2 linked regions of the Anolis sagrei genome follow. The protein of the gene in region 1 purifies or fractionates together with the protein of each later gene. This does not show direct contact. Links are inferred from orthologs where the notes say so. Each region holds a gene or a part of one and is shown on either strand. Other genes may lie near its edges.

The links.
Region 2: the proteins of MARK2 (region 1) and FUCA1 purify together in Homo sapiens (affinity purification with mass spectrometry; 3 studies listed by BioGRID and IntAct, counting the BioPlex papers as one, with this or other methods). This does not show direct contact. The link is inferred for Anolis sagrei from reciprocal best matches to the Homo sapiens genes MARK2 and FUCA1.

What each region holds. Positions count from the first base shown.
Region 1 is NC_090032.1:14,861,980-14,878,008, reverse strand, and holds the start of MARK2 (serine/threonine-protein kinase MARK2), read right to left. Parts: upstream 5,897-16,029; 5' UTR 5,400-5,896; coding exon 5,346-5,399; intron 1-5,345. Other genes in the region: SYT11 (synaptotagmin-11), read left to right, coding at 15,112-15,148. UniProt on the Homo sapiens protein: Serine/threonine-protein kinase. Involved in cell polarity and microtubule dynamics regulation. Phosphorylates CRTC2/TORC2, DCX, HDAC7, KIF13B, MAP2, MAP4 and RAB11FIP2. Phosphorylates the microtubule-associated protein MAPT/TAU.
Region 2 is NC_090034.1:79,871,111-79,887,528, reverse strand, and holds the start of FUCA1 (tissue alpha-L-fucosidase), read left to right. Parts: upstream 1-9,454; 5' UTR 9,455-9,458; coding exon 9,459-9,841; intron 9,842-13,394; coding exon 13,395-13,529; intron 13,530-13,616; coding exon 13,617-13,754; intron 13,755-15,068; coding exon 15,069-15,174; intron 15,175-16,418. Other genes in the region: CNR2 (cannabinoid receptor 2), read left to right, coding at 1,269-2,372. UniProt on the Homo sapiens protein: Alpha-L-fucosidase is responsible for hydrolyzing the alpha-1,6-linked fucose joined to the reducing-end N-acetylglucosamine of the carbohydrate moieties of glycoproteins.

The sequences.
Region 1 (16,029 bases):
GGGCCATCCAGTCCAAGCCCCTGCCAAGAAACAGGAATATTGCATATCCCAGGATCTGATTCAAGGGGGCCACGCTGTGGCGCAATGGGTGCCAGCTGGACTGCTGACCTGAAAGTTGGGTTGCAACCTGGGTTCGAATACATGAGGCCGGGTGAGCTCCCATCTGTCAGCTCTAGCTTGCAAGGATATGAGAGAATCTTCGAATCATAGAGTTGGAAGAGACCTCATGGGCCATCCAGTCCAACCCCCTCCCAAGAAGCAGGAATATTGCATTCAAAGCACACCTGACAGATGGCCATCTAGCCTCTGTTTAAAAACCTCCAAAGGAGGAGCCTCCACCACACTCCAGGGCAGAGAGTTCCACTGCTGAACAGCTCTCACAGTCATGGGCCATCCAGTCCAACCCCATTCTGCCAAGAAGCAGGAATATTGTATTCAAAGCACCCCTGACAGATGGTCATCTAGCCTCTGTTTAAAAACCTCCAAAGAAGGAGCCCCCACCACACTCCAGGGCAGAGAGTTCCACTGCTGAACAGCTCTCACAGTCATGGGCCATCCAGTCCAACCCCATTCTGCCAAGAAGCAGGAATATTGCATTTAAAGCTCCCGTGACAGATGGCCATCTAGCCTCTGTTTAAAAACCTCCAAAGAAGGAGTCTCCACCACACTCCGGGGCAGAGAGTTCCACTGCTGTACAGCTCTCACAGTCATGGGCCATCCAGTCCAACCCCATTATGCCAAGAAGCAGGAATATTGCATTTAAAGCTCCCCTGACAGATGGCCATCTAGCCTCTGTTTAAAAACCTCCAAAGAATGAGCCTCCACCACACTCCAGGGCAGAGAGTTCCACTGCTGAACAGCTCTCACAGTCATGGGCCATCCGGTCCAACCCCATTCTGCCAAGAAGCAGGAATATTGCATTCAAAGCACCCCTGACAGATGGCCATCTAGCCTCTGTTTAAAAACCTCCAAAGAAGGAGCCTCCACCACACTCCAGGGCAGAGAGTTCCACTGCTGAACGGCTCTCACAGTCAGGAAGTTCTTCCTCATGTTCAGATGGAATATCCTTTCTTGTAGTTTGAAGCCATTGTTTCGCGTCCTAGTCTCCAGGGAAGCAGAAAACAAGCTTGCTCCCTCCTCCCTGTGACTTCCTCTCACATATTTATACATGGGTATCATATCTCCTCTCAGCCTTCTCTTCTTCAGGCTAAACATGCCCAGCTTCTTAAGCCGCTCCTCATAGGGCTTGTTCTCCAGACCTTTTATCATTTTAGTCGCTCTCCTCTGGACACATTCCAGCTTGTCAATATCTCTCTTGAATTGTGGTGCCCAGAATTGGACACAATATTCCAGGTGTGGTCTAACCAAAGCAGAATAGAGCATGGGGAGCATTACTTCCCTAGATCTAGACACTATGCTCCTCTTGATGCAGGCCAAAATCCCATTGGCTTTTTTTGCCGCCACATCACATTGTTGGCTCAACTTGTGGATCAACAGTCCTGCTGGCACAAGAGTTTAACCCAGGGGTCCTCAAACTATGGCCCAGGGGCCGGATACGGCCCTCCAAGGTAATTTACCCAGCCCTCGCTCAGGGTCAACCTAAGTCTGAAACAACTTGAAAACACATTTAATAATGCTATCTCATCAGCTAAAAGCAGGCCCACACTTCCCATTGAAATACTAATAAGCTCTAAAAAAAAAAAAAAAGGTACCATGATACCATGCAATTTTCTGAATCAGTACACCAAATAACCAACCCGAATCTAACATTGACTAAAAACGGATTCGTAGCCCTTTTGGTACTAATGTTGGAGAGTGGCCCTTGGTTAAAATGGTCCTTAGTCAAAAAATGCTTGAGAAACACTGATATCTATATAAATAAAAATGTAGTGTTAGTTTGTGGGATTAACATAATTCAAAAACGGCTGGACGAATTGCGCCCAAATTTGGCCACAAGACACCTACTAACCCAAGGAGTGACCATTACTAAAAAAAAATGAGTTTGTCATTTGGGAGTTGTAGTGGCTGGGATTTATAGTTCATCTACAAAGAGCATTCTGAACTCCACCAATGATGGAATTGAATCAAACATGGCACACAGGACTCCCATTTTTTATTTTTGTCGTGTCAAGAGCAAGTCGCTTCTGGTGTGAGAGAATTGGCCATCTGCAAGGACGTTGCCCAAGGGACGCCTGGATGATTTGATGTTTTTATCATCCTTGTGGGAGGCTTCTCTCATGTCCCCGCATGAGGAGCTGGAGCTGATACAGGGAGCTCATCCGCCTCTCCCTGGATTCGAACCTGCGACCTGTTGGTCTTCAGTCCTGCCGGCACAGGGGTTTGACCCACTGCGCCACCGGGGGCTCCTAAGACTCCCATGACCAACAGAAAACATGAGAAGGGTTTGGTGGGCATTGACCTTGAGTTTGGGAGTTGTAGTACACCTCCATCCAGAGAGCACTGTGGACTCAAACAAGCATGGTTCTGGACCACACTCGGCACAAATACTCCATATGCACAACTAGGAACACAAATGGAGCTTGGGGGAAATAAACCTTGACATTGGGAGTTGTAGTTACTGGGATTTATAGTTCACCTACAACCAAAGAGCAGTCTGAATCACATGAACGATAGAATTGGGGCAAATTTCCTACACAACACCTCTATAACCAATAGAACAGTGGTTCTCAACCTGGGTTCCCCAGATGTTTTTGGTCTACAACTCCCAGAAATCTCAGCCAGTTTACCAGCTGTTAGGATTTCTGGGATTTGAAGGCTAAAAACATCTGGGGAGCCCAGGTTGAGAACCACTGCAATAGAAAATACTTAATGCCATCCAGTCCAACTCCCTTCACTAGGGCAAGAAAACGTAACCAAATAGTGTTTACCCACAAGCAGAAAGAAATTACATATATTAGAAACCAGCACTTTCTCATTACTTTATTTTCCACAGCAACGCCTTGCAGGGAATGGCTAGTAATATAATATATAGATTTGGATGGAGTGACACTTTTAAAATGTAAAGAAATTACATATATTAGAAACCAGCACTTTCTCGTTACTTTATTTTCCACAGCAACGCCTGGCAGGGAATGGCTAATAATCTATATAAATAAAAATGTAATGTTCCTTTGTGGGATTAACAGAACTCAAAAACCACTGGATGAATTGACACCAAATCTGGACACAAGACACCTAACAACCCAATGTATGTCCTTCACTCAAAAAAATTGATTTTGTCATTTGGGAGTTGTAGTTGCTGGGATTTAGAGTTCGCCTGCAATCACAAAGAGCATTCTGAACCCCACCAATGATGGAATTGAACCAAACTTGGCACACAGTTCTCCCATGACCAACAGAAAATACTGGAAGGGTTTGGTGGGCAGTGTCCTTTGGTTTTGGAGTTGTAGTTCACCCACATCCAGAGAGTACTGTGGACTCAAACAATGTTGGATCTGGACCAAACTCTACATGAATACTCAATATGCCCAAATGTGAACACTGGTGGAGTTTGAGGAAAATAGAATCTTGACATTCGGGAGTTGTGGTTGCTGGGATTTATAGTTCACCTACAACCACAGAACATTCTGAATCCCACCAACGATAGAATTGGGCCAAACCTCCCACACAGAACCCCCATGTCGGCCACAGCAACGCGTGGCAGGGGACGGCTTGTAAAATGAAATAAAAATAAAGTAATAAAATAATAAATAACCTTAACTCGAGTATAAGCCAAGGGGGGCTTTTTCAGCCTAAAACAGGGCTGAAAATCTCGGCTTATACTTGAGTATACACAGAACCCCCATGTTGGCCACAGCAACGCGTGGCAGGGGGCGACTAGTATAATATATAGATTTGGATGGAGTTACACTTTTAAAATGTACCCACAAGCATAAAGAAATGACATATATTAGAAACCAACACTTTCTCATTACTTTATTTTCCAGATCACCAGACTGGGCCACAGCAACGCCTGGCAGGGAATGGCTAGTAATATAATATATACATTTGGATGGAGTGACACTTTTAAAATATAAAGAAATAATAATAATAATTATTATTATTATTAAACTTTATTTGTACCCCGCTAGCATCTCCCGAAGGACTCGATGCGGCTTACAAAGGCCAAGGCCTCAACACACAATATAACAATACAAAACGTAAGGCAAATTAAAAACAATTAAAGCAATACAAACAACAAGCAATAAACAATACACTAAGACACAATAAAACTGGGCCGGGCCAGAGTAATGGGTACAGGATTAAAAGTGCTGATGTGACAGGTGGAATATAAGGCTTATAGGGCAAGTGCAGTGTGCGATGTGCAGCAATCTTATGGGACTTGGTATTGGAGATTTCCTAATCTGGGAAGGCACATCGGAACAGCCAGGTCTTCAAGTTCTTTCTAAAGACTGCCAGTGTAGGGGCCTGTCTAAGATCTTTGGGGAGGGCGTTCCAGAGTCGGGGGGCCACCACAGAAAAGGCCCTGTCTCGTGTCCCCACCAACTGCGCTTGTGAAGCAGGCGGGATCACGAGCAGGGCCTCTCCAGATGACTGAAGTGCACGTGTGGGTTCATAGACGGAGATGCGGTCACGCAGGTAGGATGGTCCCAAACCGTTCAGGGCTTTGTAGATAAGCGCCTGCACCTTATTTTGGGCTCGGAAAATAAACGGCAGCCAGTGGAGCTCCTTGAACAGGAGGGTTGACCTCTCTCTGTAAGGGGCCCCAGTTAACATCCTGGCTGCTGCTCGTTGGACCAGTTGGAACTTCCGAGCCGTTTTCAAGGGCAGCCCCACGTAGAGCGCATTGCAGTAGTCCAATCTGGAGGTGGCCAAGGCATGGACCACCCCGGCCAGAAATTACATATATTAGAAACCAACACTTTCTCATTACTTTATTTTCCACAGCAACGCCTGGCAGGGAATGGGTAGTAATATAATATATACATTTGGATGGAGTGATACTTTTAAACTGTAAAGAAATGACATATATTAGAAACCAGCACTTTCTCATTACTTTATTTTCCACAGCAACGCCTGGCAGGGAATGGCAAGTAATATAATATATAGATTTGGATGGAGTGACACTTTTTAAAATGTAGAGAAATGACATATATTAGAAACCAGCACTTTCTCGTTACTTTATTTTCCAGGGAATGACTAGTAATATAATATATACATTTGGATGGAGTGACACTTTTAAAATGTACCTGTTCTGACTTCCATAGGTGTTCAACTTAAGAGCAAGGCTACAGACCCGGTCTCGTTCGTAACTCGGGGACTGCCAGTCCTGCCTTTGGGGGCCTAGAAGAGGCCCCTCGTGGATACTCTTTCTCTCTGCTTACCTGCTCGGTGTTCTCCGTCAAGGTGGGCAAGGGGCTCCGTCCGCTGTTGGACATGGCTGCCTGTGGCAGGGCCTGAGGGGCGGTGGCCCCCCCAGCTGCTGCTGCCTCCTTCCTCTTTCCTGCTTTCTGGCCCAAAGGGAAGGAGCCTGGTCCCTCTTCTTCTTCCTCCTCAAGGCGAGGGGGGAGGCCAAGCCACCAGCATGGGGAACAACCAGGCTCGGTTGGAAAAACACCAGTGTAAGAGTTCCCCCCTTCCCCGGGCTCGAGTGAAGGATGCCCGGCTTGACGTTTCACGCGAGGCCGGGGATGCGGCTCGGGAGCTAGGCCGCACCGGTCCGAAAGCTCCCAACGGAGGGACCCTGTCAACCAAAGTCAATGCCGGGCTGCTGCGAACAACTCCGACGCCCGCCTTGGCCTCCCAGGCCGGGCACGGACTTCCCCTTCCCTTCGCCGCCCCGGTGCCCGAGCTCCACTCACCGCCGCTCTGCTTCACACAGCGGCGGCTCCCAACATGGCCGCCGCCGCCGGGCTTCGGGAAGTTCCGCCGACTTTCCGGAAACGCACGATCCAGGCGGGAAAAGTCCCACGGTGTACGGAAAGAGCCGAAAAGGGATGGACAAAGTTGATTGGTCCACGAAAGGCAGGCGGGGGCGTGGCCAAAGCTTTGGCACTGAAAGAGGGCAACTTCGAGAAAACCTTCCCCAAGCGGTTCGGAAAGGAGGCGGAAATAGCCGAACAGGTTTCGGCTCGCATAATACGGAAATAGCCGAGCGAGTGTACGGAAACAACCGAATGAGTACTATCGAAACTGCCTTCTGGTCCATGAACCTGGGATGCAGGAAACAGGCAGGGATCCTCCGCCCCCTTGTGGCCAGTGACTGACACTGCAGGCGCACAATACGGAAATAGCCGAGCGAGTTGAGCTCAGAGTGTACGGAAACAACCGAATGAATCCTATTGAAGCTGCAGGAAACAGCTTGCCCCCTGGTGGCCAGAAACCGACACTGCAGGAAGGACCAAAACAATAATAATAATAATAATAATAATAATAATAATAATAATAATAATAATAATAATAATAATAATAATAAGGACTGCAATCATAGAATCAAAGAGTTGGAAGAGACCTCATGGGCCATCCAGTCCAACCCCATTCTGTCAAAAAGCAGGAATATTGCATTCAAAGCACCCCCGGCAGATGGCCATCCAGCCTCTGTTTAAAAACTTCCAAAGAAGGAGCCTCCACCACACTCCGGGGCAGAGAGTTCCACTGCTGAACGGCTCTCACAGTCATGGGCCGTCCAGTCCAACCCCATTCTGTCAAAAAGCAGGAATATTGCATTCAAATCACCCCCGACAGATGGCCATCCAGCCTCTGTTTAAAAGCTTCCAAAGAAGGAGCCTCCACCACACTCCGGGGCAGAGAGTTCCACTGCTGAACCCCTATCACAGTCAGGAAGTTCTTTCTCATGTTCAGATGGGATTTCCCATCCAGATAGGCCCAAAATGGGGTTGAAATAGGATCCAATGGGATTTCTAATCCACATAGGAGCAAAACTGGACTCTAATAGGACTGAAATTAGATTTATATCCCAGGTAGAACCAAAATGGGGCTCTAATAGGACTAAAATGGGGTTTCCAATCCAGATATTACCAAACTGGGGCTCTGAAATGGGATTTCTGATCCACAAAGGGCCAAAAATGGGGCCCTCATAGGACTAAGATGTGATTTCTAAACCAAATAGAACCATTTATTATTATTATTATTATTATTATCATCATCATCATCATTATTATTATATGCTTTCTATTATAAGATTTTTTAAATGTTTATTATAATTTTTACATTGTTTTAATGACATCACATGTTGTAAAGCCATCTAGAGTCCCCTTTCGAGTGGAGAAAGTCGAGGTAGAAATGGTGTAAATAAATAAATATTTAGTAGTACTAGCATTTTAATGTATTAGTATTATTTAGATGAGAGACAGGGCCTTCTCAGTGGTGGCCCCTCAGCTGTGGAACTCCCTGCTCAAGGATATTAGATCAGCCCCCTCCCTCCTGGCCTTTTAGAAAAGATCGAAGACCTGACTTTTTGAGAAAGCATTTGGAACTTCAGTGTAAATTCAAATAGGTATATAAACATGGAATGGCTAAGACAATGTAAACAGATGAGAATAGAACCGGAAGATATTGGTTTTATAGATTTATATAGTTTTTATTGCTTTTATGGTTTTATATGTATTTATGATGTAATTTAATTGCTTTTAACTGATATATGTATATATATATATATATATATATATATATACACGTGGCATCTAATTGTGCTGGTTCTATATATTTTTATTATTTATTTTGTTATTTTGATTTATTTATTTATCTTTAAAATTATTTATTATTATAATTAGATTTTTATTTATTTCTATTTCTATTTATTTTATTTATTCTATTATTTATTTATCTTTATCATTTTTATTATTATAATCAGATTTTTATTTATTTCTATTTCTTTTTATTTCTATTATTTATTTTATTATTTTTATTTATTTATCTTTATCATTGTTTACTTTTATTTTATTATTTTTATTTATTTATCTTTATCATTATTTATTATTACAATTAGATTTTTATTTATTTCTATTTCTATTTATTTTATTTATTCTATTATTTATTTATTTATCTTTATCATTTTTATTATTATAATTAGATTTTTATTTATTTCTATTCCTTTTTCTTTTTATTATTTATTTTATTATTTTTATTTATTTATCTTTATCTGTTTATTTTTATTATTTATTTTACTGTTTTCATTTATTTTTTATCTTTATCATTTATTATTATAACCAGATTTTTATTTATTTCTATTTCTATTGATTTTTATTATTTATGATCCTTTGCTGGAGATTATTATAATTAGATTTTCATTTATTTCTATTTCTATTTATTTTATTTATTCTATTATTTATTTATTTATCTTTATCATTATTTATTATTATAATGAGATTTTTAATTATTTCTATTTCTATTGATTTTTATTATTTGTTTTATTATTTTTATTTATTTATCTTAATCATTATTTATTTTTATTATTTATTTATCTTTCTTTATCTTTATAATTATTTATTATAATAATTAGATTTTTATTTATTTATCTTTATAATTATTTATTATTATAATTAGATTTTTTATTTATTTCTATTTATTTTTATTATTTATTTTATTATTTTTATTTATCTTTAACATTATTATTATCAGATTTTTATTTATTTCTATTTCTATTTATTCTTTATTTATCTTTATTTATTTATTTATTTATCTTTATAATTGTTTATTATTATAATTAGATTTTTATTTATTTCTATTTCTATTTATTTTATTATCTTCATTTATTTCTGTTTCTATTTATTATTTATTTTATTACTTTTATTTATTTATCTTTATCATTATTTATTTTATTTTTTATTTTACTATTTTATTTTTTCATTTTTCATTTTTTTATTATTATTATTTTATTTAAAACTGGACTCTAATAGAACTGAAATGGGAATTATAATCCAGATAAACCCAAATGGGGCACTAATCTAATATTATTAATAGATTAATTGTTATTATTAATAATAGATTAATCTATTATTAGAGGAATAGGACAACTGACCTCATCATCCCCAATGAGCTTCTGCATTGCCCTAATGACTGGTCCCTTTGCCTCCCTCCAGTGGACACACTGAATATTACACCCTCTCGATCTCTCCCTTAGAGTTGCCTTTTGCCCAAGGCTCTGCAGATCCAATGTACGGTCCTTTGCTGCCATCGCGTGGCCGAAGTGGAATATTGCACCCTTTTAGTACAGCCGGCTGCAGAGTTCTGTGTAAGACATAGGCTCTTACTCTTTGCTGCCATCCTGTGGTCACTGTTGAACATTACATACTGAAATAGCATTTTATCTTGTTGTTTTTGTTGTTGTTGTTGTTATTATTATTATTATTATTATTATTATTATTATTATTATTATTATTATTATTATTGCTACTACTCTAGCACAATGAACTCCATCAACAACGGACTGGAAAATTATCAGAATGAGATGCATACTTTTCTAATTCTATAGATGCTGACCACTGTGTGCACCATTAAGAGGCTGGATGGCCATCTGTTGGGAGGGCTTTGATTGTGCTTTATATGCATGGCAGAAAAAGAGGTCAGACTGAATGGGCTTTGGGGGTCCCTTCCAACTCTAGGAGTCTATGAGCCTGGATGGCTATCTGTCAGGAGGGCTTTCATTGTGCAGAAAAAGGGGTTGGATTGGATGGCCTTTGGGGGTGCCTTACAACTCTAGGACTCAATGAGGCTGGGTGGTCATCTGTCAGGAGGGCTTCAATGGTGTTTTTCCTGCACTGCAGAAAAAGGGGTCAGACAGGGTGGCCTTTGGGGATCCTAACTCTAGGATTTCTATGAGGCTGGATGGCCATCTATTGGGAGGTCTTTCATTCTGCTTTTCCTGCATGACAGAAAAAGGGGTTGGACTGGATGGCCTTTGGGGGTCCCTCCCAACTCTAGAATTCTATGAGGCTGGGTGGCCATCTGTCGATAGGGCTTTCATTGTGCTTTATATGCATGGCAGAAAAAGGAATTGGACTGTATGGCCTTTGGGGATCCCTTCCAACTCAATGGCCATCTGTTGGGAGGGCATTGGTGGTGCTTTTCCTGCACAGTAGAAAAAAGAGGTCAGACTGGATGGCCTTTGGGGGTCCCTTCCAACTTTAAAACCCTATTAGGCTGGATGGCCATCTGTTGGGAGGGCTTTGATGGTGCTTTCTCTGCATGGCAGGAAAAGGGGTTGGACTGGATGGCCTTTGGGGATCCCTTCCAACTCTAGGATTATAGAGGACTCCTAGTTTGTGACCGTACAATAAAATTCATTGCAATTCATTATAAGGCTGGATGGTCATCTGCCGGGAGGGCTTTGATGGTGCTTTTCCTGCATTGCAGAAAAAGGGGTTGGACTGGATGGCCTTTGAGGGTCCCTCCAAACTCTAGGATTCTATGAGGGTGGATGGCCATCTGTCAGGAGGGCTTTGATGGTGCTTTCCCTACATGGCAGGAAAAGGGGTTAAGGAGCCTCCACCACACTCCGGGGCAGAGAGTTCCACTGCTGAACGGCTCTCACAGTCAGGAAGTTCTTCCTCATGTTCAGATGGAATCTCCTCTCTTGTAGTTTGAAGCCATTGTTCCGCGCCCTAGTCTCCAGGGAAGCAGAAAACAAGCTTGCTCCCTCCTTCTTATGACTTCCTCTCACATGGTTATTATATCTCCTCTCAGCCTTCTCTTCTTCAGGCTAAACATGCCCAGCTCCTTAAGCCACTCCTCATAGGGCTTGTTCTCCAGACCCTTGATCATTTGAGTCGCCCTCCTCTGGACACATTCCACCTTGTCAATGTCTCCCTTGAATTGTGGTGCCCAGAATTGGACACAATATTCCAGATGTGGTCTAACCAAAGCAGAATAGGGCATGGGGAGCATGACTTCCCTAGATCTGGACACTGCTCCTATTGATGCAGGCCAAAATCCCATTGGCTTTTTTTGCCGCCGCATCACATGGTTGGCTCATGTCCACGAGGACTCCAAGATCTTTTTCACACGTACTGCTCTCGAGCCAGGCATTGTCCCCCATTCGGTCTCTTTGCATTTCGTTTTTCCTGCCAAAGTGGAGTATCTTGCATTTGTCCCTGTTGAACTTCATTGTGTTAGTTTTGGCCAATCATCTCTTTAATCTGTCAAGATCGTTTTGAATCCTGCTCCTGTCCTCTGGAGTATTGGCTCTCCCTCCCAATTTGGTGTCCTCTGCAAACTTGATGATCATGCCTTCTCACCCTTCATCTAAGCCTGGCAGAATAGGTTCAAACTGGATGGCCTTTAAATTAGATTTTTATCGAACAGTACCAATGACCTCACAACCTCTGAGGATGCTTGCCATAGATGCAGGCGAAACGTCAGGAGAAATGCCTCTAGAACATGGCTCTATAGCCCGAAAAAACCCACAAGAACCTAGTACCAATTTCTTTGATGATGATGATGATGATGATAGAGTCTCCTTCCCTGGAGATGTCATAGCAGAGGCTGGCTGGCCATCTCTCGGGAGCGCTTTAATGGTGTCTTCCTATCTGGCCAGCACAGCCTTAGAACCAGTCCAGCTCTTAAAATTTCTATAATAATAATAATGATGATGATGATGAGTGAGTCTCCTTCCCTGGCGATGTTCAAGCAGAGGCTGGCTGGCCATCTCTGAAGAGGGCTTTGATGGTGTCTTCCTATCTGGCCAGCACTGCCTTAGGACCAGTCAAACTCTTGAGATTTCTATAATAATAATAATAATAATAATAATAATAATAATGAGGGAGTCTCTTTTCCTGGAGATGTTAAGGCAGAGGCTGGCTGGCCATCTCTCAGGAGGGCTTTGACGGTGTCTTAGGACCAGTCCAACTCTTAAGATTTCTATAATAATGATGACGATGATAATAATGATAATGGTAATAATAATGTTGTTGAGGGAGTCTCTTTCCCTGGAGATGTTAAAGCAGAGGCTGGCCATCTCTCAGGAGGGCTTTGATGGTGTCTTCCTATCTGGCCAGCACTGCCTTAGGACCAGTCCAACTCTTGAGATTTCAATAATAATAATAATAATAATAATGAGAGAGTCTCTTTCCCTGGAGATGTTAAAGCAGAGGCTGGCTGTCCATCTCTCAGGAGGGCTTTGATGGTGTCTTAGGAGCAGTCCAACTCTCTTTCTATAATAATAATAATGAGAGAGTCTCCTTCCCTGGAGATGTTAAAGCAGAGGCTGGCCATCTCTCAGGAGGGTTTTGATGGTGTCTTCCTATCTGGCCACAGCACTGCCTTAGGACCAGTCCAGCTCTTAAGATTTCTATAATAATAATAATATAATAGAGAATAATAGAGAAGACAATTATGCTGGGGAAAGTGGAAGGCAAAAGGAAGAGGGGCTGACCAAGGAGAAGATGGATGGCATCCCTGAAGTGACTGGACTGACCTTGAAGGAGCTGGGGGTGGTGACGGCTGACAGGGTGCTCTGGCGTGGGCTGGTCCATGAGGTCACAAAGAGTCGGAGACGACTGAACGAATGAACAAAATAATAATAATGAGGGAGTCTCTTTCCCTGGAGATGTTAAAGCAGAGGCTGACTGGCCATCTCTCAGGAGGGCTTTGATGGTATCTTAGGACCAGCGCAACTCTTAATATTTCTATAATAATAATGACAATGATAATAATGATAATGGTAATGGTGTGTTGAGGCCTCAGCCTGTGTAAGCTGCATCGAATCCATCGGGAGATGCTAGCGGGGTACAAATAAAGTTTAATAATAATAATAATAATAATAATAATAATAATGTTGATGAGGGAGTCTCTTTCCCTGGAGATGTTAAAGCAGGGGCTGGCCATTTCTCAGGAGGGCTTTGATGGTGTCTTCCTATCTGGCCAGCACTGCCTTAGGACCAGTCCAACTCTTAAGATTTCTATAATAATAATAATAATAATTATTATTATTATAGCAGCAGCAAGAACGAGGGAGCATAGCACAATATTAGTATAATAATAATAATAATAATAATAATGAGGGAGTCTATTTCCCTGGAGATGTTAAAGCAGGGGCTGGCTGGCCATCTCTTTGATGGCTTTGATGGTGTCTTCCTATCTGGCCAGCACTGCCTTAGGACCAGTCCAGCTCTTAAGATTTCTATAATAATAATAATAATAATAATAATAATAATAATAATAATGAGGGAGTCTCTTTCCTTGGAGATATTAAAGCAGAAGCTGGCTGGCCATCTCTCAGGAGGGCTTTGATGGTGTCCTAGGACCAATCCAACTCTTACGATTTCAATAATAATAATGAGGGAGTCTCCTTCCCTGGAGATGATAAAGCAGAGGCTGGCTGGCCATCTCTCAGGAGTGCTTTGATGGTGTCTTAGGACCAGTCCAACTCTTAAGATTTCTATAATAATGATGATGATGATGACGACGACAATGATATTAATGATAATGATAATAATAATGAGAGAGTCTCCTTCCCTGGAGATGTTAAAGCAGAGGCTGGCCATCTCTCAGGAGGGCTTTGATGGTGTCTTCCTATCTGGCCAGTACTGCCTTAGGACCAGTCCAACTCTTAAGATTTCTATAATAATAATAATAATAATAATAATAATGAGGGAGTCTCTTTCCTTGAAAATATTAAAGCAGAAGCTGGCTGGCCATCTCTCAGGAGGGCTTTGATGGTGTCTTCCTATCTGGCCAGTACTGCCTTAGGACCAGTCCAACTCTTAAGATTTCTATAATAATAATAATAATAATAATAATAATAATGAGGGAGTCTCTTTTCCAGGAGCTGTTAAAGCAGAGGCTGGCCATCTCTCAGGAGGGCTTTGATGGTGTCTTCCTATCTGGCCAGCACTTTCTTAGGACCAGTCCAACTCTTAAGATTTCTATAATAATAATAATAATAATAATAAGGGAGTCTCTTTCCCTGGAGATGTTAAAGCAGAGGCTGGCTGGCCATCTCTCAGGAGGGGTTTGATAGTGTCTTAGGACCAGTCCAACTCTTAAGATTTCTATAATAATAATAATAATAATGAGGGAGTCTCCTTCCCTGGAGATGTTAAAGCAGAGACTGGCTGGCCATCTCTCAGGAGGGCTTTGATGGTGTCTTCCTATGTGGCCAGCACTGCCTTAGGACGGTCCAACTCTTAAGATTTCTATAATAATAATAATAATGATAATGATAATGATAATGATAATAATGAGTGAGTCTCTTTCCCTGGAGATGTTAAAGCAGAGGCTGGCTGGCCATCTTTCAGGAGGGCTTTGATGGTGTCTTCTTACCTGGCCAGCACTGCCTTAGGACCAGTCCAACTCTTAAGATTTCAATAATAATAATAATAATAATAATGAGGGAGTCTCTTTCCCTGGAGATGTTAAAGCAGAGGCTGGCTGGCCATCTCTCAGGAGGGCTTTGATAGTGTCTTCCTATCTAGCCAGCACTTTCTTAGGACCAGTCCAACTCTTAAGATTTCTATAATAACAACAACGAGGGAGTCTCCTTCCCTAGAGATGTTAAAGCAGAGGCTGGCTGGCCATCTCTCAGGAGGGCTTTGATGGTGTCTTAGGACCAGTCCAATTCTGAAGATTTCTATAATAATAATAATAATAACAACAACAACAAGAACAATAATAACAACAATAACAACGAGGGAGTCTCTTTCCCTGGAGATGTTAAAGCAGAGGCTGGCTGGCCATCTCTCATGAATGCTTTGATAGTGTCTTAGGACCAGTCCAACTCTTAAAATTTCTATAATAATGATGATGATGATGATGATGATGATAATAATAATGAGGGAGTCTCTTTCCCTGGAGATGTTAAAGCAGAGGCTGGCCATCTGTGGAGAAGTTTTTGAGGGTGGCAGAAACGGGGGTCAGACTGGATGGCCCTTGGAGGTCCCTTTCCCACAGCAGGACCCTCTCTCTATCCAAGACACTGCCGAGTCACTGAAGGAGGGAGGGAGGGGCGTGGCTTCCTCGCCCGATGACGCGCCTGGAGGGGCGTGACCTGTGGCGGGGAGTGGGCGGAGCGAGCGCTGCCTCTGGACCAGTCCTCATCGGCTGCATCCTCGGAGGGACGCGCAGCATCCTTCCTTCCTTCCTCTCGGGCGGAGAAGCAGCAGCCGAGGAAGGGCGCCTCCTTCGCCGGCCGCCATGGCCGAGATCGCCAGCATCCAGCACGGCGGCTTCGGTGAGTCTTCACCCCCCTCCCCCCGCAGTCAGGAGGCCGAGGCGGCTGCTGCGCCACGCAAGGCCCGGCCTTGGCTCAGGCTTCAAGGCCTACCTTTCCCTTCAAGGCCTACCTTGACAGGCAGAGGCCTAACTGACACTGTCTCCCATCCTATGCCATCAACTCTATCTTGACTTGATATTCATATTATTTATGTATTATTTAGTTATTTACCTATTTATTTCTCTCTCTGTACTGAGACTCAAGGCAGCTCACAATGAAAAACATTGAAAATTTACTAATAATAAAACAGTATTATCATTATATATTCTATATTATCAGCTAATGTATTAGTATTTTTGAATTACAATATTATATATTATATTAATTACATTATAATATTATTAATATTATATGTATATTCACTTCTATCTTGACTTGATATTCATATTATTTATTTATTTACTTATTTATTTACTTATTTATTTATCTGTACGGAGACTCAAGGCAGCTCACAATGAGAAACATGACAATACAATTTGAAAATTTACTAATAACAAAACAGTATTATCATTATATATTATTATATATTATCAGTTAATATATTAGTATTATTGTATTACAATATTATATATTATAGAATCATAGAATCATAGAGTTGGAAGAGACCTCATGGGCCATCCAGTCCAACCCCATTCTGCCAAGAAGCAGGAATGTTGCATTCAAATCACCCCTGACAGATGGCCATCCAGCCTCTGTTTAAAGGCTTCCAAAGAAGGAGCCTCCACCACACTCTGGGGCAGAGAGTTCCACGGCTGAACACAGTCATGGGCCATCCAGTCCAACCCCATTCTGCCAAGAAGCAGGTATATTGCATTCAAATCACCCCTGACAGATGGCCA
Region 2 (16,418 bases), on another chromosome or scaffold:
GATGGTCGAGAATCGACATGATTTGGTCCTCCAAAACCATCAATTCACAACAAACAAGAAGGAATTAATGAAGTAACTAATATTTAGTGTACACTTACTTCCACACTTGCATCCTGTGTTCAAAGCCCAATTTGCTAACATGCAAATTATAAGAGTGGAGTCCATCCAACTCAGTGGGTGTGGAAGTTTTGTGAAGTAAAATAAAACTTTGCAGCAGGTATTAGAAAGCTGGAACAGCAAAAGCAATGGAGACAAGAGACTGGAGGAAGTCATAGATTTCCGAACCCTAAATCAATGGTGCATCTGAACTATGGAATGAATACAGTTCGACACCACTTGAACCATGGCAATTTCCATCGCATTGTTCCACAACTGTTGAAGCAGTGTCAACCCACATTCATTTTACAGTATACACCTGAGGTTTAGAATGTGGGTTCCTATTAATCTGCTTGTAGGCTCCCTAAAAGGGTGATGAGTTTTCTTAACCTAGGTTCCCCAAATACCTTTTACAAATGTTTGAAAAATGTGTGAAAACAGGAAGCCAAATAGCAACCACTTCCCCATTAGAATACCTTTTGTTTCTATGGAGTCACTGTATTGTTGGTCTGGTTGCCCCTGAAACAATAAATAAATACTGTATTGTTTCCCCACCACTAATAGTTCCCTACAGTCAGCGTATATAGTAGTATGACACAATACCACCTGTTACTATTGGTAACTCTGTTGGCTATTATACTCCTAAAGAGATCAAAGCTCAGATCAAAGATAGTGATTTCCCCTTCTATGTCCATAAGGTCATCGTAACACACAGTCTCCACCCCCAAACACCAAAAATAAACTAAAATTGGCCTAAAAGGGAAAAAAGAAAAGAAAATCATGATATAGATCACTTGCAAGCCTGTCAGCAAGGATGGAAAGAGAAAAAGTGGCAGCCATTCTTCCTTCCCTGAAGAGTGAATTGGCTACATTTAGATTTGAACTGACATGAACCAAGAACTAAGGGGGGAAATGTGAGGAGGAAAAAAAACAAACATTTTCAAAGCAACTGAGAAATTGGAATGACAGAGGATTAGTCAGGACAGTCCATGCCAAATGACAATAGTTGAAGGGTATGATGGATTGGGTTGGAAGGGAGTACAGCATATGATTGTATTGATACTCAGTACTGCACATTGTCCTCATTAATATATATTTAAATTCCTCCAGTTCCCATCACTCTGTAGCCAAGACTGCCAACCTCTTTCCAAAGACGGCCTAAGTCCACCACGATGGAGCAATGCAAGGTGAACACATCGGCGGGGGACATCTTGAGATGCCACTCCAACATAGTGCCTATGGAGTGCTACCTGGTGCTCAACAACACATCACAGGCCCTCATCGCCACATTGTGTTGCACTGCCGGAACCCTCTGCGTATTGGAAAATACCTTGGTACTCTACCTCATCTTTTCTTCCCCAAAGATCCACAGGAAGCCTTCTTACCTTTTCCTTGGCAGCCTCGCCTTGGCTGACACCTTGGCCAGCTTCATCTTCGTCTGGAGCTTCCTCCAGTTTCACATTTTCAGAGGGGCCGACTCCATGGTGGTCTTTTTACTCAAGCTAGGAGGCGTCAACACCACCTTCACAGCTTCCCTCGGCAGCCTTTTGCTGATGGCTTTTGATCGATACATCTGTATCCTCAAACCCTCGACATACAAGGTCCTGGTGACTAGTAAAAGAGCCCTGGTGGCTTTGGTAGTCCTGTGGCTCTCCATTGCGTTCCTTGCCTCCTTACCTCTCTTTGGATGGAACTGCTGCAGACTCAACTCTCCTTGCTCCGAGCTCTTTCCTTTTGTGGACAACAATTACCTTCTGAGCTGGGCAAGCTTTGTGGCGGTCCTTCTGGTATCCATCATCTATGCCTACGGACATGTCTTATGGAAAGCCCGGCAACATGTTGCATACATGGAGAAGCATCACAGACCCAACGGCCAAACCAAAAGCAAGATGAGGCTAGACATTAAGTTGGCCAAGACCTTAGCCATTGTCCTGCTTGTCCTTGTCACCTGCTGGACCCCTGCCATGGCTCTCATGACGTACAGCATCTTTGCCAAAATGGATACCTCCCTGAAGAGAGTGTTTGCCTTCTGCAGCACCCTCTGCCTGGTCAACTCCATGGTGAACCCGGCCATCTATGCCCTACGAAGCAGGGAGTTGAGCTCTGCTCTGAGGAAAGTTTGCACCAATTTCAGAAGAAAAACTGACATCTCAGATAGCAATCCTGATGCAGAAAGCACTCAGAAGACCTTGCCGTTCGAAAACATAGGGGACAGATTTGTCGGCAGTTCCACAAAGACCCAAGCTTCAGAAGGTGACAAAATGGAAGCATTGTAGAAATGGATGTTTTCTCTTCCCATTTGAAAAGACTTCCAAGCATATTTACTACCGATCTGGTGGAACTGGAGATGAAGTTGCTCCGGACACTCTGCATGGATTGTAGAAATGCCAGAATACGGAGGAGGAAATACTTTGAAAGTGGCCAGAAGTCAATTTCTGGTTTGGATAAAATGGTACTACAGTATTTGATGTTGAACCTTCAGAAGCACCCTGCAAACTTTTTAAAATGGCAAACTGGTGCTGCTGGGAGATTCCAGGAAAAACAATGGCTGGGTGGCATCTTGGTAGAAAAACGTCCATGTAGTCACAATATAGACATGGAATGAATTTTAAACATATGCTGCTAACAGGAATGGAAGCAGGGTAGTACATAAGGCAATGCCGTTCAGTGTCATTGCGCATTGCAGATTGCCATTTCACAGTGCACAAAAGCACTTAGTAATTGATTGATGTTGTGCAATATTGCTATTTTGCATAAGGGTTGCATAGTACTGGTGTACCTTATCTTCACATATGTATATTCATGCTCTGCTGAGGGGATATTGAGTTGTAGTTTCGGATTTCTTCCTTTGCCTCCTTCCCCGTCATCTTTTTTTAAAAAATATGGCTCAATACTTTCCCAGTGTTTTGGACTTCAACTTCCACAATTCCTAACAGCCTCAGGTCCCTTCCGGGTCTGAGGCTGTTAGGAATTGTGGGAGTTGAAGTCCAAAACACCATGAAGGCCAAAGTTTGAACATGCCTGCTCTAGAATCATGGGAGTTGTAGCTTTACTGGGTCTTTAACTTTCTCTGAAGGAATGCTGGAGCCTCACCAAACTCCAGCTTCCATAATTCCATAGCCACAGAAGATAAAATGGGGCAAGACTGCATCAATTCTGCAGTGAAGAACTAGCCTTAGTCAATGAATGCTAACGCTATAAACATTTTTCTCTCAGTGTCATAGGCTTGATCTAGACTGCCCAATAATGCAGTTTAAGGTGCATTATATGGCAGTATAAACCTAAAGTACTGCAAAATCCCTTTCCACACCGATATTCAGATTAACATGGCTATGTCTTTGATTTTTTTTTTAAACTGTTATACATTCCTGGATGGTGGGGACTGGACTAAATAGCTTTTGTATTTCCTTCCCTCTGTCTTTTCTAAGTAATGCAATCACCTCCTGATACTTTGGATTTATCTGGGCAAAGGCGTCTCTTCCTGCATATGATATCACAATAAATTATGAAGAACAGATGGGAATATTTATTTATTTACCTTATTTATATCCCACCTTTCTCTACCCCAAGGGGGACTCAAGGCGGCTTACAAATGGCACCTCAAAACATACAATATTCACAAAATAATTTAGATTAAAATTACTAACACAATAACATGATTAAAATAGATTCAAGGTTGAAACACACCATCAAGGGATCAAAGTCTAAGGCCGTTCTATGATCAATTGCACATATTCCACATTAAAATTACTGCACTACTCTATTTTGTGAAAGCCTGCTCCCAGAACCAGGTTTTTACTCTTCTTCTGAAGGCTGGGAGGGAGGGGCTGATCTGATGTTATTAGGGAGAGAGTTCCACTATCAAGGGGCCACCACTGAGAAGGCCCTGTCTCTTGTTCCCACCAGCCACACTTGCAAAGAAGGTGGAACCAAGAGCAGGCCATCCCAGATGATCTTAGTCTCCGAGCCGGTTTGTAGGGGGAGATACATTCGGACAGGTAGACTGGGCCAGAACTGTTTAGGGCTTTATAGGATAAAGCCAGCACTCTGAATTACGCTCGGTAGCAGACTGGCAGCCAGTGGAGCTGACATAACAGAGGAATTGTGTGCTTCCTGAACACCACTCAGGTGAGCAACCTGGCTGCCACTCATTGGACCAGTTGAAGCTTTTGAACAGTCTTCAAAGGCAACTCCACGTAGAGCGTATTGCAGTAATCTATACAGGATATAACCAGAACTTGGACCACTGTGGCCAAGTCAGATTTCCCAAGGTACGGGCACAGCTGGCGCACAAGTTTTAATTGTGAAAAAGCCCCCCTGGCCACCGCCGAAATCTGGGTTTCCAAGCTCAACAATGAATCCAGAAGGACTCCCAAGCTGCGATCCTGTGACTTCAGGGGTAGTGTAACCCCATCCAGCACAGGCTGTAACCCTACACCCTCTTCGGCCTTTCGACTGACCAAGAGGACCTCTGTCTTGGTTTTTTTTTTCCCCTTTCCTTTTCCATTTATAATATTTACTCCTTATTAATTTGCTTTCATTTACAACTGTGTTTATACTATGGGGTTCTAAGTTCCCCATCATGACCCCCTTGAATACAGGGGTTGCTCTGCAAGCTATTGAAACTCCCTCTTGACAGTTTTGATTTTATTGGGTTGAGGGTTTGTTTAAATAGTCATCATACCTATTCCTCTCCTTTCCCCATTTTAATTGAGTTTTCCAAAGGTTACAACTAAAAAAAACCATTGTAATTAATTTAAAATAAATAAAATCAAAATATATAATATAACAAATAATAATAATAATAATAATAATAACTATTTCTATCCCCCCTATCTCCCCAGTGGGGACTCAGGGCAGTTAACAACCTGTTTACATTTAGTACTGTAAAATGTAAACAACAAACAGATAAATTACCATAAAACAAATACATAATAGAACATTAAACATCGACATTGAGCAATGATAAATCATTGCAACAAATTAGACATCACACAACTAAAAAATTACATTTTAACTAATAAACTATTTAAAAGCCAGCCTTAAAATTGACATGAATAAAAGTTTTATAAAGCATTCAAATTGAAAAGCTAGAGCAGGGGTCCTCAAACTTTTTAAACAGAGGGCAAGGTCACAGTCCCTCAAACTGTTGGAGGGCCGGATTATAATTTGAAAAAAAATGAATGAATTCCTATGCACACATCTTATTTGTAGTTCAAAAACCACTTAAAAACAATACAATAATTAAAATGAAGAACAAGTTTAACAAATTAGTATTTCAATGGGAAGTGTGGGCCTGCTTTTGGCTTTTTTTGTGTGTCTCAGGAGCAACTTTGAGAAACTGCAAGTCACTTCTGGTGTGAGAGAATTGGCTGTCTGCAAGGACGTTGCCCAGGGGACGCCCAGATGATTTGATGTTTTTATCATCCTTGTGGGAGGCTTCTCTCATGTCCCCGCATGAGGAGCTGGAGCTGATAGAGGGAGCTCATCCGCCTCTCCCCGGATTCGAACCTGCGACCTGTCGGTTTTCAGTCCTGCCAGCACAGGGGTTTAACCCACTGCACCACCGGGGGCTCCGGTGCTCGTCAGCTTTTGGCTGATGAGATAGGATTGTTGTTATTGTTGTCGTGTGCTTTCAAGTCGTTTCAGACTCAGGCTGACCCTGAGCGAGGGCCAGGTAAATGACCTTGGAGGGCCATATCCGGCCCCCGGGCCATAGTTTGTGGACCCCTGAGCTAGAGTAACAGCTATTTCCATATTCCATTCCATTTTGTTTTTGTCAAATATCTTATATATCGTCCTCTCTATATGCTTGCGATCATAAGAAGGTCCTTGCTCTCTTTCAAAAAACAATAAGAGACCTTCTGTTACTCCGGGAGGGAGTTCCAGAGGTGGGGACATGTAACACAATACAATAAATATGATATGTATGTGTGTGTGTGTGTGTGTATACACACACACACACACACACACACACACACACATATACAATAGACATTCTAGTGTTGCTGTAAGAAGGTACCCCAGAAGCAGCTTTCACTGGGTTGCTGTGAGTTTTCTGGGCTGTATGGCCATGTTCCAGTAGCATTCTCTCCTAACGTTTCACCCACATCTATGGCAGGCATCCTGAGAGGTTGTGAGGTCTATTGGAAACTACGCAAGTGGGATTTATATATCTGTGGACTAATGTCCAGAGTAGGAGAAAGAACTCACACTTGCCTCAAGCAGACAAGAGTTCTTTTTCCCACCCTGGACATAATTCCACAGATATATAAACCTCACTTATTTTATTTATTTATTTATCAATTTTATATACCGCCACTCCCCGAAGGCTCGGAGCGGTTTGCCTACTTACCTCACAACCTCTGAGGATGCCTGCCATAGATGTGGGCGAAATGTCAGGAGAGAATGTTTCTGGAACAAGGTCATACAGCTTGGGTGGTGCTGTGATTATATTACTTAGTGGAAAGACACGTTTTAATATTTGTATATTTTATACAGCTTTTATCAGCCTGTTGTGTTATTTATGAGGTTGATCAACTACATGTTTTAGCCTAGGTTGTTTTATTGGCTTATTTTTAATTGTTTACTTTTAGCTCTTTCCTTGTTTCTGTTTTATTTTGATTTTATCATTGCACACGGCATTGAATGCTTGCCATTTTGGTCTTTGGAAGGCGTCCTCAGTCCCTTCATGGGAGAGAGAGCGGGTTAAAGAATTAAGTATTATTATTATTACTATAAAAACTCACAGCAGCCCAGACTTGCAGTATGTTTCCTAATAAGGTTGTCAGACTGAAAACTGGAGGCAGTTCCCATATCCTTAATAGTTATTTATTAAAAGAGGGATTTCAGGCGTTACTTCACTAGAAGCACCTAAATATTAAAAGTCTAGTTTTTACTCTATAATAATAATAATAATAATAATAATAATAATAATAATAATAAAACGTATATATCGCTCTATCTCCCCGAGGGGACTCAGAGCGGTTCCTAGGTAACATCACAAAACATACAAAGTAAAACAACATAACCATAAGATTAACCAAACAATATATGCATAAAAATTGTCACCATAACACACATATATTGAAAGTAATCCTGCCTGTTCAAGGCAATTAAAAAATTTACAAGGCCAAGCCGAGATTTGTGTAAGCCCAAAAATTCTAGGGGCCCCGGAAATTAAGTGCAATGCTATAGCAGGCAACAATAATATTAGGTACGGGTCTGTGGCTGTTCATTCCGGGGCTGATTAGAGGAAGTGATCTGGGTAATTGGCCGTATTCGACAATGTGTAAGACTGAGTTAGAGCTTGTCATTTACAAAGGCTTGTTGAAACCACCAGGTTTTCAAGTTCTTACAAAAGGAGGGGAGGGATGGGGCCTGTCTTATTTCCCTTGGAAGGGCATTCCAGAGGCGAGGGGCCACCACCGAGAAGGCCCTCTCTCTCGTCCCCACCAACCGTGCTTGTGACGGAGGTAGACCGAGAGGAGGGCCTCCCTGGAAGATCTTAGAGTTTGTGCCGGTTCATAGAAGGAGATGCAATCACGGAGATAGGTGGGGCCTGAACTGTTTTTTAGGGCTTTATAATTCATGACCAGCACCTTGAATTTGGCTCGGCAACTTATCGGCAGCCAATGAAGCTGTTTTATTAGGAGTGTTGTATGCTCCCTATAGTTTGCTCCAGTAAGGAGCCTAGCTGCCGCCCGTTACACCAGTTGAAATTTCCGGGCTGTTTTCAAAGGCAGCCCCACGTAGAGCGCATTGCAATAGTCCAGTTTAGTCTAGCAACTTTATTTCCCAATTAAATCACAAAAGTCACTGAGAGCCTGCTTGAATTTTGTTCGCCTCACCTCTCTGGGAAAGCCTTCCTTTCATCTACCTCAAGCAAACAAGAGTTCTTTCTCCCACCCAGATATATAAGCCTCATTTTCTAGTTTCCAACGGAGCTCTCACTACCTCTGAGGATGCTTGCCATAAATGCAGGCGAAACGTCAGGAGAGAATGCCTCTAAACCAGGGGTCCTCAAACTTTTTAAACAGAGGACCAGGTCACAGTCCCTCAAACTGTTGGAGGGCCGGATTATAATTTGAAAAATATATATGAATTCCTATGCACACTGCACATATCTTATTTCTAGTGCAAAACACTTAAAATACAATAATTAAAATGAAGAACAATTTTAACAAATATAAACATATTAGTATTTCAATGAGAAGTGTGGGCCTGCTTTTGGCTGATGAGATAGGATTGTTGTTGTTGTGTGCTTTCAAGTCATTTCAGACTTAGATTGAACCTGAGCGAGGGGCGGGTAAATGACCTTGGAGGGCCGTATCCAGCCCTCGGGCCAAAGTTTGAGGACCCCTGCTCTAGACCATGGCCATATAGCCCGAAAACCAGTGATCCCAGCCATGAAAGCCTTCGACAATACACAGACCTCACAACCTCTGAGGATGCCTGCCAGAGATGCAGGTGAAACATCAGGAGAGAATGCTTCTGGAACACGGCCATACAGCCCGGAAAACTCACAACAACCCAGTTATTCCGGCCATGAAACTACAAGAGAGGAGATTCCATCTGAACATGAGGAAGAACTTCCTGACTGTGAGAGCCGTTCACCAGTGGAACTCTCTGCCCCGGAGTGTGGTGGAGGCTCCTTCTTTGGAGGTTTTTCAACAGAGGCTGGATGGCCATCTTTCGGGGGTGCTTTGAATGCAATATTCCTGCTTCTTGGCAGGGGGTTGGACTGGATGGCCCATGAGGTCTCTTCCAACTCTTTGATTCTATAGATTCCATCTGAACATGAGGAAGCTCTTCTTGACTGTGAGAGCCGTTCAGCAGTGGAACTCTCTGCCCTGGAGTGTGGTGGAGGCTCCTTCTTTGGAGGTTTTTAAATAGAGGCTAGATGGCCATCTGTCATGGGTGCTTTGAATGCAATATTCCTGCTTCTTTGCAGGGGGTTGGACTGGATGGCCCATGAGGTCTCTTCCAACTCTTTGATTCTATAGATTCCATCTGAACATGAGGAAGAACTTCCTGACTGTGAGAGCCCTTCAGCAGTGGAACTCTCTGCCCTGGAGTGTGGTGGAGGCTCCTTCTTTGGAGGTTTTTAAACAGAGGCTGGATGGCCATCTGTCAGGGGTTATTTGAATGCAATATTCCTGCTTCTTGGCACGGGGTTGGACTGGATGGCCCATGAGGTCTCTCCAACTCTTTGATTCTATGAGTTTTGCAGCTGGCTGCCATGCCCCCTCACGTGACTCCGCCGAGTGGGGCTACTATTGGTCGGCACGTGACTCTGCTGAGGTGGCTGGCCATTGGTCGAGACGTCTCCTGAAGGCTGCCTCACGTGATTCGGCGGGCCAATGCGCATGGCGGAAGCGAGTTCCTCTCTGAGGGAATCCAAGATGGCGGCCTGGGCGGTGTTTGTTGCTCTTCTCTCCGTCGCGGCGGCATCTCCTCAGCGTTACACGCCGGACTGGGCCAGCCTGGACTCGAGGCCGCTGCCCGGCTGGTTCGACGCGGCGAAGGTGGGCGTCTTCGTGCACTGGGGCGTCTTCTCGGTGCCGGCCTGGGGCTCGGAGTGGTTCTGGTGGCACTGGCGGGGCGAGGGGCGGCCCGAGTACGAGCGCTTCGTCAAGGCCCGCTTCCCGCCGGGCACCAGCTACGCCGACTTCGCGCCCCTCTTCACCGCCCAGGACTTCCTGCCCGAGGCCTGGGCCCAGCTCTTCCAGCAGGCCGGCGCCAGGTCGGAAACATTGTAATGTGGACATAATTTCGGTTATAGCAGAAACCTTGCTGCGTATAAAAAGGTTCTCAAAAAGGGAAACTATATTGGGTTGTTGTAGGTTTTTTCGGGCTATATGGCCATGGTCTAGAGGCATTCTCTCCTGACGTTTCGCCTGCATCTATGGCAAGCATCCTCAGAGGTTGTGAGGTCTGTTGAAACTAGGGGAAAAATATTATTTATGTATTTATTTATTTATTTAAAAGTTTTATATACCGGCCTTCTCACCTCTCTTGAGGGACTCAGACCGGTTTCCAACCATAATATCACATACAGTTAATAAAAACATAATAATTCATTTTACACTAAAACATTAAAACAGCAATTACATTCAATAACTACAGTGGTCAGTCGTCACACTAACTCATTCATCATCCTCCATCCATATCTGGCTCACTCGTCGAATGCCTGTCTCCATAACCAAGTCTTCACCTGTTTCCTAAATGTCAGGATAGACAGGGCGGTTCTGATCTCCAGTGGAAGAGAGTTCCAGAGTCGAGGGGCCACCACCGAGAAGGCCCTGTCCCTCGTCCCCACCAGACGCGCTTGCGAGGCCGGTGGGACTGAGAGCAGGGCCTCTCCAGACGATCTTAATAATCTTGAGGGTTTAGATATCTGTGGAATGACCAGGGTGGGACAAAGGACTCTTGTCTACTGGAGCTAGGTGTGAATGTTTCAACTGACCACCTTCATTAGCATTTGATGGCCTGGCAGTGCCTGGGGCAATCACTTCTGCAGGAGTCTACCGTATACCATGCAGCTGTGGACAAGTCTACATAGGGACCTCCAAACACAGCTTTGCCCAAACACGAATCAGGGAACATGAAAGGCACTGCAGACTACTTCAGCCAGAGAAATCAGCAGTAGCAGAGCACCTGATGAACCAACCTGGACACAGCATTTTATTTGAGAACACAGAAATGCTGGACCACTCTCACAACCACCATGTCAGACTACACGGAGAAGCCATTGAAATCCACAAGCATGTGGACAATTTCAACAGAAAGGAGGAAACCATGAAAATGAACAAAATCTGGCTATCAGTATTAAAAAAACTCTAAAATTAAAACAGCACAACAACAGAGAGGAAGCAAACAAGGACATCTAATCACCTCTCAACAAAAGTTTGCTCCAGGCACTGCCAGGCCATTATATGCTAATCAAGGTGGTCAGTTGAAACATTCACACCTAGCTCCAGCAGACAAGAGTCCTTTGGTCCCACCCTGGTCATTCCACAGTTATATAAACCCTTTTTCCTAGTTCCAACAGACCTCACTACCTCTGAGGATGCTTGCTATAGATGCAGGCGAAACGTCAGGAGAGAATGCCTCTAGACCATGGCCATATAGCCTGAAAAAACCTACAACAACCCAGTGATTCTGCCATGAAAGCCTTCAACAATACAGGAAACTATATTATTATTATTAAACTTTATTTATACCCCGCCACCATCTCCCCAAGGGGACTTGGGGTGGCTTACACGAGGCCAAGTCCAGCAATACAGCAATGCAAATAAACAACCTACAACAACAGTAAAATATAAAAATAAAAAATAAAATACAAGAAACTAAATAAACATCAAGCAATGTAAAATCACAATAATTAAACACAGAAAATAAATCACAGTGGGCAAGGCCGATAGCAAGGATTAAAAAGTTTAAAAACACTGGATGAGAAGGCAATGTATTGTATCTGGACAGGGGATCGGAGGGACGAAAGTAGGGTTTAAATGCACTAGTAGGTAGAAAACAAAGTGCTTCCGAGGACATTATTTTGCAAGGTTTGGTCAGGTCAGGGGTTATAGTTCAGTTCATCATTCCTTGAAGGCACACTGGAACAGCCAAGTTTTCAAGCTCTTCCTAAAGACTGCCAGGATGGGGGCTTGCCTAATTTCTCTGGGGAGTGAATTCCAGAGCCGAGGAAGCCCTCTCCCTCGTCCCCACAAGTCGCACTTGCGATGGAGGTGGGAGCGCGAGAAGGGCCTCTCTGGAAGATCGAAGGGGTCGTGTAGGTTCATAAAAGGAAATGCAGTCACAAAGTTAGGCAGGTCCCAAACCTTTCAGGGCTTTGTAGGTAAGTACCTGCACCTTGAATTGGGACCGGAAAATAAACAAGGGGGTATACCGCTACCTGTAATTCACACCAGTTAGTAGTCTGGCTGCTGCTCGTTGGACCAGTTGGAATTTCCGGGCCGTCTTCAAGGGCAGCCCCACGTATAGACTATAGACCGGTGCTTCTCAACCTGGGGGTCTTGAGGGGGATTTCAGAGGGGTAACCAAAGACCATTAGAAAACACATATTTCTGATGGCCTTAGGAAGCCCTTTGACAGAGAAGGCTGAAGATCTCTCTGCTTATTATTTGTTAAACCCTTTAAGTATTACTTTTAATACATGTATTGCTGATACCCATCCTCCAACATTGCAGCAAACAAGACTGCATAATATGCCATATTTACTCGAATATAATGCACATCTTTTAAGGCAGTGGTTCTCAACCTGTGGGTCCCCAGATGTTTTGGCCTTCAACTCCCAGAAATCCTAATAGCTGGTAAACTAGCTGGGATTTCTGGGAGTTGTAGGCCAAAACAGGTTGAGAACCACTGTTTTGAAGTATAATTGCTTAGCCAAAATGGACATGCACTTTACATTTGATGGCACATTCGAATCATGTGCCCAAATATGCCTATGCTTTTCCATCAGGCTGAGGCTACTGAACTCGGCAGCCTCCGCCTGATGGCTTCCCAACTTCCTCCATTCAGACCCTGAATAAAGCCAGCTAGGAAGCCACACCTCCTCTTCCAATCCTAGTTCGCCAGCCAGTTTGATGGGGGTGCCGCTTCTCCCACCTCACCCCTTTCCAAGTCCTGTTGTCCTTAGCCTCCAATCTGGGAAGCTAAGGAGAAGGGAATCCCCCTCCCTTCTTCCCAAGCCACCTTCCGCCTATTTCAGCTGGGAGGCTAAGGATAAGTGCTGCCCCTCTCCACCAAGTCAAGACTGGCAAATTATCCAGCCTCTACTTGGCAGAAGGGTGCCACTTCTCCTTGCTTCTCTGGCAAATCCATTTTTGGTCATGTGCACCTCAAAATTGGGGTGTGCATTACAATTAATGGTGAAATAGAGTCATGTAAATACATATACATAGACGAGTATACGGCCAGACATCTGTATCCCAGGATTCTGCACCCGCAGTTTCAATGAGCTGCAACTTGAAAAATTTCCAAAAAGCCCACCTTGATCTTGCCATTTTATATAAGAGACAGCAATTTAGTAAACAATTTGTATATGATCACATGAACATCCACGGATCTTGGATCCTGTAACCAAACCCCAGAGGTGGGGTGCACTTCGGATGTATTAAGACAGAGTAAGGAGTATCTTCCTGAATTTGATCTGCCGATGGTACAGTTTTAAAAGGCAGATGAAGCTTTGTCTTTTTCTTTGCTATCTCTTAAATGTGGGTATATTTACTCTGAGTTCTCTTCCTTCCTGACTTGTTATCTTCCTTTGCCTAAAGATATGTGGTGCTGACCACAAAGCATCACGAAGGCTTCACCAACTGGGGTTCCCCCGTGTCTTGGAACTGGAACTCGGTAGATACAGGGCCCCATAGAGACTTGGTGGGAGAACTGGGAGATGCCCTCCGAAAAAGGTATGGATGTGGGTTCAAAGGTTGGGGTGGAGAGGTTGGGCTTAGGAGCTTTCTGATCACTTGCGGATCTTTTGTTCTAATCTTTAGGAACATACATTATGGGCTGTACCACTCCCTCTATGAATGGTTTCATCCACTCTATTTGATGGACAAAAATAATGAATTCAAGACACAGTATTTTGTCTCTGAGAAGACTATGCCAGAGCTTTTTGACCTTGTTTTAAGGTAAGAGCAAGACATCATCAGAAAAACCTAGATTAGCCTATACTATCTAGACGTGGTTCCCTCTAAGTGTGTTAGACTGTAACTTCCAGAAGCCCTTCTATGAAATTTTGTTACTTGTAGTTTGGTGAAAGGCTAGAGCTCTCTTGCTGAAAATTCTAAAGACCTCATGAAACGGCAAATTCCAGGATTCCATAGGAATTGAAGTGGAGCCAAGTGCTTTAATTGCTTATGTAGTGTGAAAGAGACTCCTAGATGTATTTCATCAGAAGTGAACCCTGTTGCGTGCAACAAGGCCAAGTACATCTGCTTAGAATCTGCGAGACCAGGGACAATCCTGTGCTTCTGTCTATAGCTCTGTTCTGTAGGTGCTCTAATACTGGCCTATACCTGCTAAGTGCCTCGGCTGCCAAGATGCACAGACCCAACACCCCACTGCATAGATGGAGGCAAAGACAGGCTTGTTTTACTAGCAAATTTGTAACAAAGGTGACCAACATGCAGGCTGTGTGTGGTTATGTCACTGTATTGTGGTCTAGGAGTAACAACACATTTTTATTTGTTCTCTGAAACCAAGTGCATGAGAAAGATGTACCTGGCTTTGAAGAATAATCGAATTCTCTGAAGCACTGCTTATTAAACTCAGGATCCTGGCCCCAAATGAGGTCCTCTGAGCTCAGAGTTGGGATCACAAAAATTTGGCAGTAGTAAAAGGTTTCTGAATGCTACCTAGATATTTACACAAATCTGTTAGTTACAGTGGGACTTTGCAGAAAATGCTTCAACTATATTCCATAAAAAGGAAAATCGGCCTATATAGCAAGCCTTGCAAATGCTGATTTATTACACTAGCCAACACACATTTTGGTGTCTCAAATGTCAGTCCTGTTTCTGGGTCTATTTCTGGGTATATGCCAGTTTCTCCATATCAGCTCTAGTTTTTGAGATAGAAAACATATTTACCTATATACCCAGGTCATGTAAAAATATCTTGGGCAAAAGGGATCACGAATGAAAAATGTTTAAGAAGCCCTTCTCTAAAGCATAACACTCTATTCAGAAAACAGCATAAACTCTTCATGTGCTTGGTTTTAAGAGGAAAGGTTTATTATCTTTAATGTTATGCCACCAGATTTAGCTAGCAAGATATGTCTAGTCCTTAGAATGTGAAGTTTCCCCGCCCTGCTGAAATTGTCCACTTTGTTTTACAACAGTATAATCAGACCAGTCACTATTAGCACATCTCAACAGAATGAGCAGGAACTAGGACACAATTGTATTGGTAAATTTTCTGGTTTTGTTAATCTGCATCTAAAGGTACAAGCCGGATCTCATCTGGTCTGATGGAGAATGGGAAGCTCCAGATACATACTGGAACTCAACTAATTTCCTTGCCTGGCTTTACAACGATAGTCCAGTCAAGGTATCTGAATTTGCTTTGAACTGGGGCAGTTAATGAATGTTGAAAACCCAGCCAAGTTTTTCCTACTTGCTTGCATTTGAGATTAAGACTTTAGAGTGGCTCTTTAGATATTTTGGCCCATGAAAGCCTTTGTGGTTCTTCAGAGTGTCCAAAATGTATCTGTCACCTCTTTAGTGAGACCTGTTAGGTTTTTCTTGATGGAGGCTCAGTTCATGTAGCTAACGGTGAGAGCACTATACAAACTCCACTTTAAGTATTGTAACAAAGTGCAGGAAATAGAAATATGTATTACTTGTGATTGCCATCTCCAAGTCTGAGAACAGAAATAGCAAGAGTATATAACTCCATAATTCCTGTTTTCTACACATTTCTAAACCTTTGAGCAAGAGTGGGAATTGCATGTCCAGATGGTGCTGAATGTTACTCGCATCATTTCTCTCCCCATTGGATGTGCCGGGTAGGATTGCTAGTATTTTTGGGTCAGCAACACTTGAGGGGGGAGGGGGGAGGGGGGGGGTCTGCTGTTCCCACAAAACCTCAGACTATGCATGTGCTTAAACATGAAGGTCATGTTGGAAAAATGGCATAAATAGCAGGCCTTCAGAGGATGTGACTAGTGCTATGAACCCCTTCGCTACTGAGACATTGGGAATTTTAGGGATGATAATAAACTGCTGAGCTGCTGAACTTGCTGACTGCAAGATCGGTGGTTTGAATCCAGGGAGCAGGGTGAGCTCCCACTGTTAGCCCCAGCTTCTTCCAACCTAGCAGTTCGAAAACATTCAAATGTGAGTAGATCAATAGGTACCGCTTCAGCTGGAAGGTAACGATGCTCCATGCAGTCATGCCAGCCACATGGCCTTGGAGATGTCTATGGACAACACTGGTTCTTTGGCTTAGAAATGGAGATGAGCATCACCCCTCCAGGGTCAGACTTAATGTCAAGGGGAAATCTTTACCTTTAATAATAATTTTATTTCTTACCCGCCTCTCATGGCTCAAGGCGGGGCACAACATAGCTAGAAACACATCATCGTAAAACATTATATAAAATACACGTATTAAATATATTTCTATGAAAAACATATTTTAAAGTACACAGAACAAAGATTAAACACAAGACATGACTTTTAAATTCATAGTTAAACTAATTGGGTAGGCCTGCCGGATAGTCATAAAGAGCTTTGATACTTTTCATTGAGCTTAAGGTGGAGTAAAGTGATAAACGGAACTGGGCGTGTGTA